Anolis sagrei: one gene and its partner. The protein of the gene in region 1 interacts with the protein of each later gene in a biochemical or structural test. Links are inferred from orthologs where the notes say so. Each region holds a gene or a part of one and is shown on either strand. Other genes may lie near its edges.

What was found. The genes of interacting proteins can lie anywhere in the genome.
Region 2: of the proteins of MAPT (region 1) and MAP/microtubule affinity-regulating kinase 4, one has a biochemical effect on the other in vitro, tested with the Homo sapiens proteins (2 studies listed by BioGRID). The link is inferred for Anolis sagrei from reciprocal best matches to the Homo sapiens genes MAPT and MARK4.

What each region holds. Positions count from the first base shown.
Region 1 is NC_090026.1:44,350,095-44,357,371, forward strand, and holds the start of MAPT (microtubule-associated protein tau), read right to left. Parts: upstream 3,055-7,277; 5' UTR 2,871-3,054; intron 1,921-2,870; exon of another isoform or gene 1,830-1,920; intron 1-1,829. UniProt on the Homo sapiens protein: Promotes microtubule assembly and stability, and might be involved in the establishment and maintenance of neuronal polarity.
Region 2 is NC_090035.1:81,015,721-81,023,179, forward strand, and holds the start of MAP/microtubule affinity-regulating kinase 4, read right to left. Parts: upstream 3,001-7,459; 5' UTR 2,377-3,000; coding exon 2,326-2,376; intron 1-2,325. UniProt on the Homo sapiens protein: Serine/threonine-protein kinase. Phosphorylates the microtubule-associated protein MAPT/TAU. Also phosphorylates the microtubule-associated proteins MAP2 and MAP4.

The sequences.
Region 1 (7,277 bases):
TAATTTGGGCCGGGGCCGTTTAGGGCTTTATAGGCCAAAGCCAGCACTAAATTGTAGCCGGTAGCAAACTGGCAGCCAGTAGAGCTGGTGTAATATGGGAATTGTATGCTCCCTGTTATTAACCTAGCTGCCTCTCGGACTATTTGAAGCTTCCGAGCAGTCTTCAAAGGCAACCCCACGTAAAGTGTATTACAGTAATCTATCCTAGATGTAACAAGAGTGTGGATGTTCCTGAGAAAGCCCTGTCCTGAGTACCCACCAACCACCCCCTGTAGTTAGTGAAATATGTAATAGGATATCTTGTAATGCTAGAAGTGGCTTTTCATTTAGTTCTGTACGAACCACAAAATAACAAACAGTTTTCCCAACTAAAAATGCTTCTGTTAACACCTAGATGTCTTCCAAAACTATTCACTGTAATGGAGAAGAAATGACCCAACACGAGAGAGCAGAGCTCTAGCGTCATTTCAATAAAACCAACATTTTGTAGCAACTTCAATGGAATAGTAATAAAGGACATATTCCTATGATATACTCCCTTTCATATCTTATGTAGGACAGAATGCAGTATTAGAAAGCTGGTGTAGTGGTCACTTCAGCCAAGAAGCCACTTGGCAGCTTAGAAAATCCAGTCTTATCTGCCAACTGCGACATGGAGGTAACAGTGTTGAATAACTAAACAAAATTATTCTAAGAATGCCTCATAATATCTGCAAAATCTCAAGTATTATATAACTGCTGCCTTTCATTATAGCAAAAACTTATTGTGTTCACACATTCTGGAAGTAAGTTAAGAATAGAGTAGTGAAGCTATAAATCAACTATTTAAAGGACTGAGAGAAGAGAATGGTGATCCTGGGAAATGTTTCTATCTTGAATTGTATGATCTCATCCATCCTATCATATCACGCCACTCTTGTTGAACAAAATCACTGATGTTACTTACCAATACAGGAGTTTATATTTGCACATTGTAATTAGACATGATACTCGATTAAAAAATAGAAGTGGACATATCAATTCTAGCAAAAAGATTTAACAGAAGGGGTTACAATATTACTTCTAGCAAAAGAGCTTTCAAAATGCTAATTCTGGAAGTAGACAAAGGATTTTTTCCTCTTCATCCCCACCCAAAACTACATGAGCATACCACAATCTTTACCCAATGAGAACTGTACTTTGCAACCATGTATTCAAGCCTACCACTGGGCGTGACCAGCCGCTGCTATTACACTCTGATCCATTTTCCCCCTGTGAGAAAACCATTTGAAACTGGGGAAAAAATATCACAATGAAGACACCAAACAATTGGGCTGCACATCTCGGCATAGGCAGAGCAAAAAATGGCACTACATCTACATCCAGAAATACGTGCCGATGTATTATATTTCTGTTCAGAATACTTCTACTAATGTGAGGTCGGTAATTAAATATGGAGTGGGGTAGGATTGTAGAAGAGAGCTATCTTCATCCCCCCCCCCCCCCAACACACAGACATACAACACAACACACTACGCACTAACCTCACTCTGCTGTTACATCGCTAGATCTACATCTGGAAATATGTGCTGGTAAATTATATTTCTATTCAGAATATTTTCTATTAATGTAAGGTTGGCAATTTAATTATGGTGTGAGATGGTGGAAGAGACGTGTTTTCGTTCTCAAAAGGAGCCCTAGCCTTGCTCTGTTGTCACACCCATGATTTTAAAACCCCAAAGGTAAATCCCATAATTTTGACCCATTTATAGAACAAAGCAACCCCTCCTCTAAAGTAGATGACCTAGATAGCATCCTTTCCCCCGTGAAAATACAGTAACATAGAGCACCTTTTCCTTTGGTAGGTTGTCAGTCTATTTTTCCCCCCCAATCACGCAAACGCTCTAAGCAATCCTGGAAATATGACATGGACTGCAAAACATGGCACCACCGATGTGAAAGGGAGGGGGAAGAGCCCATCCTTTTTCTCCCTCCGAGATCCACACCTACTGCAGCACCAACAGCCTATCATTCGCCATCTCCCTCACAATCAAAACCAGTCTTCCAAAGAGGAGCACAGACCTATGGGAGGGACCGGCAAAGGGAAAAAGAGGAGGGGGAGCATGTCAAAAAACGGAGAAGAATAGAGAGTCCAAAGATGACATCCTTAAATTTTAACTGGAAGCATCACCACCGCAAGAGAGCCATTTGTTCCATTTCATTGTTTTCTTTCTCCTTCAAGTCTCAAATGGAGGAAAAAGTCACCTGTGAATCCATAGATGGAGAATTCATTTGTGACATTTTTTGATGATTTCTCTCCATCCAAAAAAAAAAAAAATCCCTCCAAATGTCTTCCAATTATCAACATGCAAGGCTGCATTGTTTGAACACTATGACAAAGCATGTGTGTGTGTAGGAAAGAGCTGAAAGGCACACCTTTCTCCTGCAAGGAAGCCTATTGAGGTTCAGGAGAGACACACCCCTGCTGCTGCCCCATTTTGCCTCAGAAGAATCAATGGCTGTGGATGGAAATGGGCTATTTTTTGCAATAAGCCCCAGAGGAGTAATTTCTCTCTCTGTGCCTATTGCCACATAAGCCTTGGCAGGTGGCAAGTGCGTGGCTCATTCACCACAAGGCTCCTTTGGAGGGAGGGGTGTGGTTAAAGAAGAATAAGGTCCTATTTGAATGATAACAGAGACTGAGCAAATGGAAAGGCAGCATGAAGCAAGCCTCCCCTGTCTGGCATGGAGCTGGAACCGTGGTGCCATTGCTAGAGCGCTCCCTCATGCACCTCAAGGCTAATAAGCCCAGACCCTTCCCAACCTCAGCCCGCTTCCCAAGCCTTGCCAAACCTCAAAGGGGCCTTTCCCCCCCTTCAGGGAAACCCTACCTGGCGCTGCGGCTGCGACCGCTGCTGCAGGGAAAGCTCGCTGGAAAAGCCTCGCTCACCAAAAGCCGGGAGGAGGGGGAGTGACAGCAGAGGAGAACGGGAGCGCGCCTCTCCTGCCGCGGCCGCGCGCACAAGCTCCCGAACCTTCGCCTATGAGAGTCCTCCCTAGCGAGCCAGATGGGGCTCTGCCGCGCAGGCGCACTTCACGCGCCGCTCTTGTCCTCTCTCGACACCTCCCTTGTTTGCGCCTGCGCACGAGCGGACGCTGCTGGCGCTCCTTTTTCTAACCTGGTTCTTTGTCTCTGGGAAAAAAAGGGGGGACCGGCTTTGAAACAAAAAAAAAATATATGCCCCTTCTTGCAAGGGTAAACTCGATCAAGGTAGGGATAATTCCACCAGAGAAGTCACTTGATAAACCAACCAACACAGAATACTATTTGGAAACAGAGACATGCTGGACCACTCTTGACAGCCATCATGCCAGACTACACAGAGAAGCCATTGAAATCCACAAACGTAGACAATTTCAACAGAAAGGAGGAAAGCATAATAATCTGGTTACCAGTATTAATTAATCTTATCTATATAAATAAAAATGTAATGTTCATTTGTGGGATTAACATAACCCAAAAACCACTGGATGAATTGACACCAAATTTAGGCACAATACACCTATCAGACCAATGAGTGACCATCACGCATAAAAACACAACAGAAGAGACTTAAAAACCAAAAATACATTACAACGCATGCAGAAAACCACATATATACACAAACACACATATATACACATATACATAAATATATATACACACACATATACACATATATATACATGCAAAACACATACACAGATTGGGCCACAGCAACACATGGTAGGGGACGGCTGGTCTATATAAATAAAAATGTAATGTTCGTTTGTGGGATTAACATAACTCAAAAACCATTGGACGAATTGACACCAAATTTGGACACAAGACACATATCAAACCAACCAGTGACCATCACTCATAAAAACACTGAAAAACACTGCAGAAGGGACTTTAAAAGCCAAATAATAAACAATACATTACAATGCATGTGCAAAACCACATACACAAATATATACACATACATATACACACACAAAACACATATACACAGAATGGGCCACAGCAACGCGTGGCAGGGGATGGCTAGTCTATATAAATAAAAATGTAATGTTCGTTTGTTGGATTAACAGAACTCAAAAACCACTGTGGGAATTGGCACCAAATTTGGACACGCTACACCTATCAACCCAATGTATGTCCTTCACTCAAAAAATAGATTTTGTCATTTGGGAGTTGTAGTTGCTGGATTTTATAGTTCACCTACAATCAAAGGGCATTCTGAACTCCACCAATGATTGCACTGAACTAATCTTGGCAGATAGGACTCCCATGACCAACAGAAATACTAGAAGTGTTTGGTGGGCATTGATCTTGAGTTTGGGAGTTGTAGTTCACCTACATCCAGAGAGCACTGTGGACTCAAACAATGATGGATCTGGACCAAACTTGGCACACATAGTCAATATACCGAAAAGCGAACACCAGTGCAGTTTGGGGAAAATAGACCTTGACATTTGGGAGTTGTAGATACTGGGATTCACAGTTCACCTACAATCAAAGAGCATTCTTAATCCAATGAACAAGAGAATTAGGGCAAACTTCCCACACAGAACCCCCATGACCAACAGAAATTACTTAAGGCCATCGAGTCCAACTCCCTTCACCAGGGTAAGAAAACGTGATCAAAGCCCTCCTGACAAAGAGCCATCCAGTAGTAGATATAGATAGATATGATTCACACACACACAGATATAGTATCATAAATTTGAAAGGGACCCTTAAAGAAGGACAATTATATGTTGCATGTTCCAGAGTAGGCAAACCACACACTCTCCGCATCAACACTGACAAAGAAACAGCAAGAAATACTGTTTACCCACAAGCATCAAGACATTACATATATTAGAAACCAACATTTTCTCATTACTTTATTTTCCTGATCACTAGACTGGGCCATAGCAACGCGTGGCATGGGACAGCTAGTAGATAAATAAAAATGTAATGTTCGTTTGTGAGATTAACATAACTCAAAAACCACTGGGCAAATTGACACCAAATTTGGACACAATACTCCTATCAGGCCAACAAATGACCATCACTCATAAAAACACTGAAAAACACAGAAGAAGAGATTGAAAAAGCCAAATATTATATATACATTACAACGAATGTGCAAAAGCACATATATACACAAACACACATATATACACATATATATATACACATATATATACACACAAAGCACATATACACAGACTGGGCCACAGCAACGTGTGGCAGTGGATGGCTAGTCTATATAAATAAAAATGCAATGTTCGTTTGTGGGATTAACAGAACTCAAAAACTAATGGGCGAATTGCCACCAAATTTGGCCACAAGACACCTACTAACCCAAGGAGAACCATCACTCAAAAAAATTGATTTGTCATTTGGGAGTTGTAGTTGCTGGGATTTATAGTTTACTTACAATCAAAGATCATTCTGAACTCCACCAATGATGGAATTGAACCAAATGTGGCACATAGGACTCCCATGACCAACAGAAAACACTAGAAGGGTTTGGTGGGCATTGAAACCTGGCACGAATATTCCATATGCCCAAATATGAACACAGATGGAGTTTGTGGAAAATAGACCTTGACATTTGGGAGTTCAGCATGGTCTTTGATAGTTCACCTACAATCAAAGAGCATGCTGAACCCCACCAATGACAGAATTGGGGCAAACTTCCCACACAGAACCCTCATGATCAACAGAAAATACTTAAGGCCACCCAGTCCAACTCCCTTCACCAGGGCAAGAAAACGTAATCAAAACCCTCCTGACAAAGAGCCATCCAGCTATAGATATAGATATAGATATAGATATATAATTCACACACACACAGATATAGTATCATAGATTTGAAGGGGACCCCTAAAGAAGGACAATTATATGTTGCATGTTCCAGAGTAGGCAAACCAGACAATCTCCACATCAACACTGACACAAAAAAACAACAAAAAAAAACAAGAAATACTGTTTACCCACAAGCATAAAGGCATTGCATATATTAGAAACCAACACTTTCACATTGCTTTATTTTCCAGATCACCAGACTGGGCCACAGCAATGTGTGGCAGGGGACAGCTATAGTATATAAACAGACATGTAATGTTCATTTGTGGGATTAACATAACTCAAAAACCACTAGATGAATTGACACCAAATTTGGACACAATATGCATATCAAGCCAACGAGTGACCATCACTCATAAAAACACTGAAAAAAACAGCAGAAGAGACTTAAAAAGCCAAAATTACATTACAAACGCATGCACAAAACTACACACACACACACACACATATATGCACTCACGCATGCAAACACACATATGTACACATATATACAAATATATGCACATACAAAGCACATACACACAGACTGGGCCACAGCAACGCGTGGCAGGGGACAGCTAGTAATAATATAAAAAAAACAAAACACCAGAATAAAGAACACTACTCAGAAACAGGAATTCCAGGCAGCCAACAATCAAGTGCCTGTTAACACCTCCCAAACAATGGATGTCCCCAGGCAGTAGCAGCCAGGCTTTGCAACTGCAAGGCTACTCAGGCCCCATCCACACAACTGTATAAAATCCCACATTATCTGCTTTGAACTAGGGATCCTTCTGCACAGGCCTATATCCCAGAATATCAAGGCAGAAAATCCCACATCTGAGTGTGGACTCAGGCCCCTTCCACACAGCTGAATAAAATCCCACATTATCTACTTTTAACTGGAATATATGGCAGTGTGGACTCAGGGCCCTTCCACACAGCCCTATATCCCAGAATATCAAGGCAGAAAATCCCACAATATCTTCTTTGAACTGGGTTATATGAATCCACACTCAGATATTGTGGGATTTTCTCCTGGAATATTCTGGGATATAGGGCTGTGCGGAAGGGCCCTTAGTCTCAAGCCACTACATTATATTAGCTTCTATACCACACACACACAAAAGTTGGGGGAAAAGCATGCCCTTGTTCTATCCACAAATTGCCCCTGCTCTCTCCATCTTCCACAGTGCTACACAAATGAAGAAAGGGATGGAGGTGTACTAGTAATAACTTGTCATTCTTTCCCTGTGTTAGCCCTCCCACAGCTCTCCTATTATGCTATTACGTTTTGTAAGAAGATTTTCTTTGCCGCTTGTGATGTATTCAAGCAGTCCGTCTTGTACTGGCTTCTGAAGCGGATGAGTAGCCATGTAACCCTGTGCGTACTTATAGTAATATTTTTTTGTAGTAAACCCCAGAATTCAATGGGACT
Region 2 (7,459 bases), on another chromosome or scaffold:
CACACACACATATTGTGTGTGTGTGTGTGTGTATATATATTGGTAATATGTTATATATTATTATTCTGGTTGTTTGAGGATGGAGGCAGAGAAGAGGAAGGTATCTGTGGCATTTAAATCATTCCCCCCTCCATTCATTCATTCATGCCATTATAATTATTATTATTATGGTGTTTATTTATCCCCTGCTCTATCTCTCCACAAGGAGACTCAAAGTGGTTTAGGGACATGAAAAGCCTTTGGATCCCATTCCAAACATGGCAACAACATGAAGCGCCATTGGCATTCCAGCCGCATCCCAAGGCCTCTCTTTAGGGTCAGATCCAGGGAATCCATGAATGGGGAAGGGCAGGAAGGAGGCCCCTTTCCCTCTCATATTCCCAAACAGGAAGATAATATTGGAGAAGGAGGAGGGGAATGAGTGGCCAAAGGGACTGGGGTCTTCTTTCCCCAGTTCAGACCAGTCCCTGGCATGTCTTTTAGGGTTTGTTGTGGGGAGGGAAGAATGCCCCATTTCGCCCTCATATTCCCAAACAGGAATATAATATTGGAGAAGGAGGAGGAGAATGAGTTTCCAAAGGGACTGGGAACCCTCCAAATGGAGTCTTCTTTCCCCAGTTCAGACCAGTCCCTGGCATGTCTTTTGGGGTTTGTTGTGGGGAGGGAAGAATGCCCCATTTACCTCATATTCCCAAACAGGAATATAATTTTGGAGGAATATAAATCTGGAGGAAGAGAATGGGTAGCCAAAGGGATTGGGCAGCTTCCAAATGGAGTCTTCTTTCCCCAGTTCAGACCAGTCCCTGGCATGTCTTTTAGGGTCTGTTGTGGGGAGGGGAGGGGGAGAGAAAGGTCAGAGAGAGAGAGAGAGAGAGAGAGAGAGAGAGAGAGAGAGAGAATGGGGAGAATGCCCCCTTTCCCTCATATTCCAAAACAGGAAGATAATTTTGGAGAAGGAGGAGGAGAATGGGTGTCCAAAGAGATTGGGCAGCCTCCAAATGGAGCCTTCTTTCCCCAGTTCAGACCAGTCCCTGGCATGTCTTTTGGGGTCTGTTGTGGGGAGGGAAGAATGCCCCCTTTCCCTCTCATATTCCCAAACAGGAACATAATATTGGAGAAGGAGGAGAATGAGTTTCCAAAGGCATTGGGCAGCCTCCAAATGGAGTCTACTCTCCCCAGTTCAGACCAGTCCCTGGCATGTCTTTTGGGGTCTGTTGTGGGGAGGGGAGGGGAGGGGAGGGGGAGAAAAAGGCCAGAGAGAGAGAGAATGGGGAGAATGCCCCCTTTCCCTCATATTCCCAAACAGGAAGATAATTTTGGAGGAGGAGAATGAGTGGCCAAAGGGATTGGGCAGCTTCCAAATGGAGCCTTCTTTCCCCAGTTCAGACCAGTCCCTGACATGTCTTTTGGGGCCTGTTGTGGGGAGGGGAGGGGGAGAGAAAGATCAGAGAGAGAGAGAGAGAGAGAGAGAATGGGGAGAATGCCCCCTTCCCCTCATATTCCCAAACAGGAATATAATTTTGGAGGAAGAGAATGGGTTTCCAAAGGGATTGGGCAGTCTCCAAATGGAGACTTCTTTCCCCAGTTCAGACCAGTCCCTGGCATGTCTTTTGGGGTCTGTTGTGGGGAGGGGGGGGGAGAGAAAGGTCAGAGAGAGAGAGAGAATGGGGAGAGTGTCCCCTTTCCCTCATATTCCCAAACAAGAATATAATTTTGGAGGAATATAACAGGAATATAATTTTGGAGGAGGAGAATGGGTGGCCAAAGAGATTGGGCAGCCTCCAAATGGAGCCTTCTTTCCCCAGTTCAGACCAGTCCCTGGCATGCCTTTTGGGGTCTGTTGTGGGGAGGGGAGAATGCCCCCTTTCCCTCATATTCCCAAACAGGAATATAATTTTGGAGGAAGAGAATGGGTGGCCAAAGGGATTGGGGGCCTCCAAATGGAGTCTTCTTTCCCCAGTTCAGACCAGTCCCTGGCATGTCTTTTAGGGTCTGTTGTGGTGGTTGGGGGGGGGGGGGGAGACAAAGGTCAGAGAGAGAGAGAGAGAGAGAGAGAGGCCCCTGTCCCTCCCCCCCCCCCCCCTTTGACAAAGCTACTCCATCCTCCTTCCTCCAAGTGGGGATGGAGAGAGAGAGAGAGAGAGAAAGCAGCTCCATCATTACGCATCTTTGGGGTGGGGCTTTGGGGGGGCTGGCGGTGGAGATGGGGCCTCAATCCGGCCCCAAAGGGAAGCCCAGAGGGGGGGCTTCCTTGCCCCCCCTCCCTGGAAGCAAACCAACAAGTAAACAATCACCAAAAAGGGATGGAAAGAGAGAAAGACTCACGGTGTCGGCATTGCGCTCATTGCCGGCGGCCAACGCGGTTCGCAAAGACATCTTCTCCTTCTTCCTCCTCCTCCTCCTCCTCCTCGTTTCCTTCCTCTTCTCCTTCCTTTTCCTCTTCCGAAAAGGGTCCCAAGGGGAGGGGGAGATGTGGGGGTCGTAATTTCCGGGGAAAAGGGATCTTTTCCTCGCCTTCCCCCTTGGCTAGTGGCTCTCCTTCCTCCTCTTCTGCGTCCTTTTCCTCTCTCCGAACATCAGGCTCTCCTCTCCTCTTTTGGGGGGCAAAACAAGGGGGGAAGGGGCCAAGGGAAGGCGGGGGGCACCCTCGGAGAGAAGGGAGCCCGTCCCCACTCGAGGGGACCCCAATAGTCCCCCCAAAAGGGCGGAAAGGCCGCTTCCCCGCTGTCGCTGGCTGCGCTTCCCGTGCGCCCTGGACGGATTGGACTGGGTTGGGGGGCACCTTTTGTGCCAAGCCGCCCTGCCCCCCGCTTCCGAACCGGGGGTTCACACAAGGCCGAGGATCCGGACCAGGAAGCGATGCCCAAGCGGGGGGTCCATGGTAGAGCCCCCCCGGAGGCCCGGTCTCGGAACGGGAGAGGCTTCTTTCAGGTGCCCCCCCCCTCCCCTCCTCTCTGGCCCGGCCTCTCCAAAGGCTGGACGCGGCGAAGGAGGGAGGGAGGGAGGGAGGGAGGAGGGCGGGGCCCCGAGCAGGGAGGGAGGGAGGGAGGGGAAAGAGAGGGGGAGGGGGAGCCAAACTGAACCCCCCCCCTCCGCCCGGCTCTTAAAGGCGCCGCTTCTCCTCCTGCGTAAAAAGAGCCTCAGAAGGAAGGAAGGGAGGAAGGAAGGGAAGGAGACCTTTGCTGGGAAGGGGGGGGGGATGCAAGAGGGCCCCTGAGCATGAGCAGAGGGCGGCCTTAAGAAAAAGGTGGCTTTGGCTCAGGCGCCGGAGGCCATAAACTGGTCTTTCTTCTCTTCTTTCTTTTTTCCTTCCTTGGTTTTCCTCCCTCCTTTCTTTTTTCTTTCCTTCCTTTTTTCTTTCATTCCTTCTTTTTTCTTCTCACATTCCTTCTTTTTCCTCTTTCTTTCTTCCTTCCTTCCTTCTTTCTTTCTTTCTTTCCTTCTTTCTTCCTTCCCTCTTTCTTTCCACATTCCTTCTTTTTCCTCTTTCTTTCTTTCCTTCTTTCTTTCTCCTTTTCTTTCCTACTATCCTTCCTTCTTTCTTCCTTCCCTCTTTCTTTCCACATTCCTTCTTTTCCCCCTTTATTTCTTTCCTTCCTTCCTCCTTTCTTTCTTTCTTTCCTACTATCCTTCCTTCTTTCTTCCTTCCCTCTTTCTTTCCACATTCCTTCTTTTCCCCCTTTATTTCTTTCCTTCCTTCCTTCTTTCTCTCTTTCTTTCCTACTATCCTTCCTTCTTTCTTCCTTCCCTCTTTCTTTCCACATTCATTCTTTTTCCTCTTTCTTTCCTTCCTTCCTCCTTTCTTTCTCTCTTTCTTTCCTACTATTCTTCCTTCCCTCTTTCTATCCACATTCCTTCTTTTTCCTCTTTCTTTCTTTCTTTCCTTCTTTCTTTCTCCCTTTCTTTCCTACTATCCTTCCTTCTTTCTTCCTTCCCTCTTTCTTTCCACATTCCTTCTTTTTCCTTTTTCTTTCTTTCCTTCCTTCCTCCTTTCTTTCTCTCTTTCTTTCCTACTATTCTTCCTTCCCTCTTTCTTCCCACATTCCTTCTTTTTCCTCTTTCTTACTTTCCTTCTTTCTTTCTCCCTTTCTTTCCTACTATCCTTCTTTCTTCCTTCCCTCTTTCTTTCCACATTCCTTCTTTTTCCCCTTTATTTCTTTCCTTCCTTCCTCCTTTCTTTCTCCCTTTCTTTCCTACTATCCTTCCTTCTTTCTTTCTTCCTTCCCTCTTTCTTTCCACATTCCTTCTTTTTCCTCTTTCTTTCTTTCCTTCTTTCTTTCTCCCTTTCTTTCCTACTATCCTTCCTTCCCTCTTTCTCTTCTCCCCCTTTTCTTTCTTTCTTCTTTTCTTTCCTTCCTTTTCCTTCCTTTTTTAGTTCATTCCTTCGTTTTTCTTCTCACTTTCTTCCCACATTTACTTCTTTCTTTCTTACCTTCCTTCTTTCTTTTTTCTTCCGTTCCTTCCTCCTTTCTCTCTTTCTTACCATCCTTCCTTCTTTCTTTCCTCCCTCCCTTCTTTTTTTTTTCTTTCCTTCCCTTCCTTTTTTATTTCATTCCTTCTCTTTTTCCTTCCTTCTTTCTATCCAGCCTTGGGAGAAAGCAGTGAGGCAATGAAGTGGGATTTCTTTCCTTCCTTATTTCTTCCTTCCTTCCTTCTTTTTTTCTTTCTTTGCTTCCTTCTTTCCTTCCTTCTTTCTTTCTTTCCTTCTTTCTTTTCTTCCTGCCTGCCTTCCTTCCTTCCTTCCTTCTTTTTTTTCTTTCCTTCCATCCTTCCTTCTTTCCTTATTTCTTTTCTTCCTTCCTACTTTCCTTCCTTCTTTCTTTCCCTCCATCCTTCATTCCTTCTTTCCTTATTTCTTTTCTTCCTCCCTGCTTTCTTCCTTTCCTTCCATCCTTCCTTCTTTTCTTATTTCCTTCCTGCTTTCTTTCTTTCCTTCCATTTTTCCTTCCATCCTTCCTTCTTTCCATCTTTCTTTTCTTCCTTTCTGCCTTCTTTCTCTCCAGCCCTGGCCGGGGAAAGCATTAGAAGACTGCCCCTGAGCTTGTGCAGAGTGCATCTTTGGGAGAAAGCAGCTCTAGTCCAGTAGTGGGCTTTCACCATTCTCCTTTCTTCCTTTCCTTTCTCCCTTCTTTCTCTCCTTCCTTCCTTTCCAGCCCTGAGATAGCATTAGAAACATTCCCCTGAGCATACGCAGAGTGCATTTTTGGAAGAAAACAACTGCTCCAGAAGTAGGATTTTATCATTCTCTTTTTCTTCCTTCCTTCCTCATCCTTTCTTTCTTTCTTTCTCTCCTTCCTTTCTTTCCAGCCCTGAGATAGCATTAGAAATGTTCCCCTGAGCATAAGCAGAGTGCATCTTTGGGAGAAAACAACTCTGCTCCAGAAGTGGGATTTCATCATTCTCTTTTCTTTCTTCCTTCCTTTTTTCTTTCTTTCCTTCCATCCTTCCTTCTTTCCTTATTTTCATTCTTCCTTTCTTCTTTCTTTCTTTTCTTCCATCCTTCTTTCCTAATTTTCTTCCTTCTTTCCTTCCATCCCTCCTTCTTTCCTTATTTTCTTCCATCCTTCCTTCTTTCCTTATTTTCTTCCTTCCTTCTTTCCTTGTTTTCTTCCTTCCTTCCTTCCTTCCTGCCTGCCTTCCTTTTTTCTTTCTTTCTTTACTTCCATCCTTCCTTCTTTCCTTATTTTCTTCCTTTCTGCCTGCCTGCCTCTTTTCTTTCTTTCTTTCTTTCTTTCTTTCTTTCTTTCCTTCCATCCTTCCTTCTTTCCTTCCATCTTCCTTCCTTTCCTTCTTTCTTTTCTTCCTGCCTGCCTTCTTTCTCTCCAGCCCTGACCTGGGAAAGCATTAGAAGACTGTCCCTGAACTTGTGAAGAGTGCATCTTTGGGAGAAAGCAGCTCTGCCCCAGTAGTGGGCTTTCACCATTCTCATTCTTCCCTTCCTTCCTTCCTTCCTTCCTTCCTTCCTTCCTTCCTCATCCTTCCTCATCCTTCCTTTCTTTCTTTCCTTTCTTCCTTCTTTCTCTCCTTCCTTGCTTTCCAGCTCTGAGATAGCATTAGGAACATTCCCCTGAGCATAAGCAGAGTGCACCTTTGGGAGAAAACAATTCTGCTCTAGAACTGGGATTTCATCATTCTCTTTTCTTCCTTCCTTCCTTCCTTCCTTCCTTCCTTCTTTCCTTATTTCTTTCTTTCCTTTTTCCTTTCCTTCTTTCCTTCCATCCTTCCTTCTTTCCTTATTTTCGTCCTTCCTTCCTTCTTTCTTTCCTTCCATCCTTCTTTCTTTCTTTCTTTCTTTCCTTTTTCTTTCTTTCTTTCCTTTCTTTTTTCTTTCTTTCTTTCCTTCCACCCTTCCTTCTTTCCTTATTTTCTTCCTTCCTTCTTTCCTTCCTTCTTTCCTTCTTTCTTTCTTTCTTTCTTTCCTTCCTTCCTTTCTTCTTTCTTTCTTTCTTTCTTTCCTTCCATCCTTCCTTATTTTCTTCCTTCTTTCTTTCTTTCTTTCTTTCTTTCCTTCCTTCCTCATCCTTCCTTTCTTCCTTTCCTTTCTTCCTTCTTTCTCTCCTTCCTTCCTTTCCAGCCCTGAGAGAGCATTAGAAACATTCCCCTGAGCATAAGCAGAGTGCATCTTTGGGAGATGTCCTTTCCTCCTTCCTATCTTTCCAGCCCTGGAGTGGGATTGCCCCTGAGCATGGGCAGAGAGCATTCCTTGGGAGAAAGCCACTCTTCCCCAGACTTGGAGGAGATGTTAGATTGCTCTTTCTCCATTTCCTTTCTCTCTTTCCTTCCAGCCCAAGCATGGGAAGAGTGCCCCTGAGCATGGGCAGACGATCTATTTGATGAAAGCGTGCTCTTGTTTTAATATCCTTTCCCATTTCTTTCCATTAGAAGATTGCCCCTGAGCATGGGCAGAGAGCAGGGTTGCCCTGGAATGCCTTCTGAAGGCTTGCCAGTGGCCTTTTAAATATATATGTACACACACACATAGGCCTATCCTTCCTGTTATGGGGCTAGTCCTCAAGGTTGTCATGCAGATCTATGCAGCTGTAATTAAGGAGAGCATTCCAAGATGTGATGTGATGAAATCCTGCCCTGATTGATTCATCTCCACCCAACAGCAGTAAACGCCGGGTGTGTTTACATTGCAAAATAGATGCAGTTTGACACCTCTTTCACTGCTATCATATGGGACTTGTAGTCTGGTTAGGAAGAGAAGGCTGAGGACTATATGTTGTCAAACTATATGTTATTATTGAATTTTATTTTATTTTAATTTTATTATTGGCTACGAATTAACAGGCATTGGTGGAATTTCAAAAACACGGCCCATTGTGACCAGGAGCATATATTTTATTATTTGTTATTATTTGTTTCTATTTATTATTATTATTTAATCTATATAAATAAAAATGCAATGTTCGTTTGTGGGATTAACAGAACACAAAAACCACTGGACGAATTGACA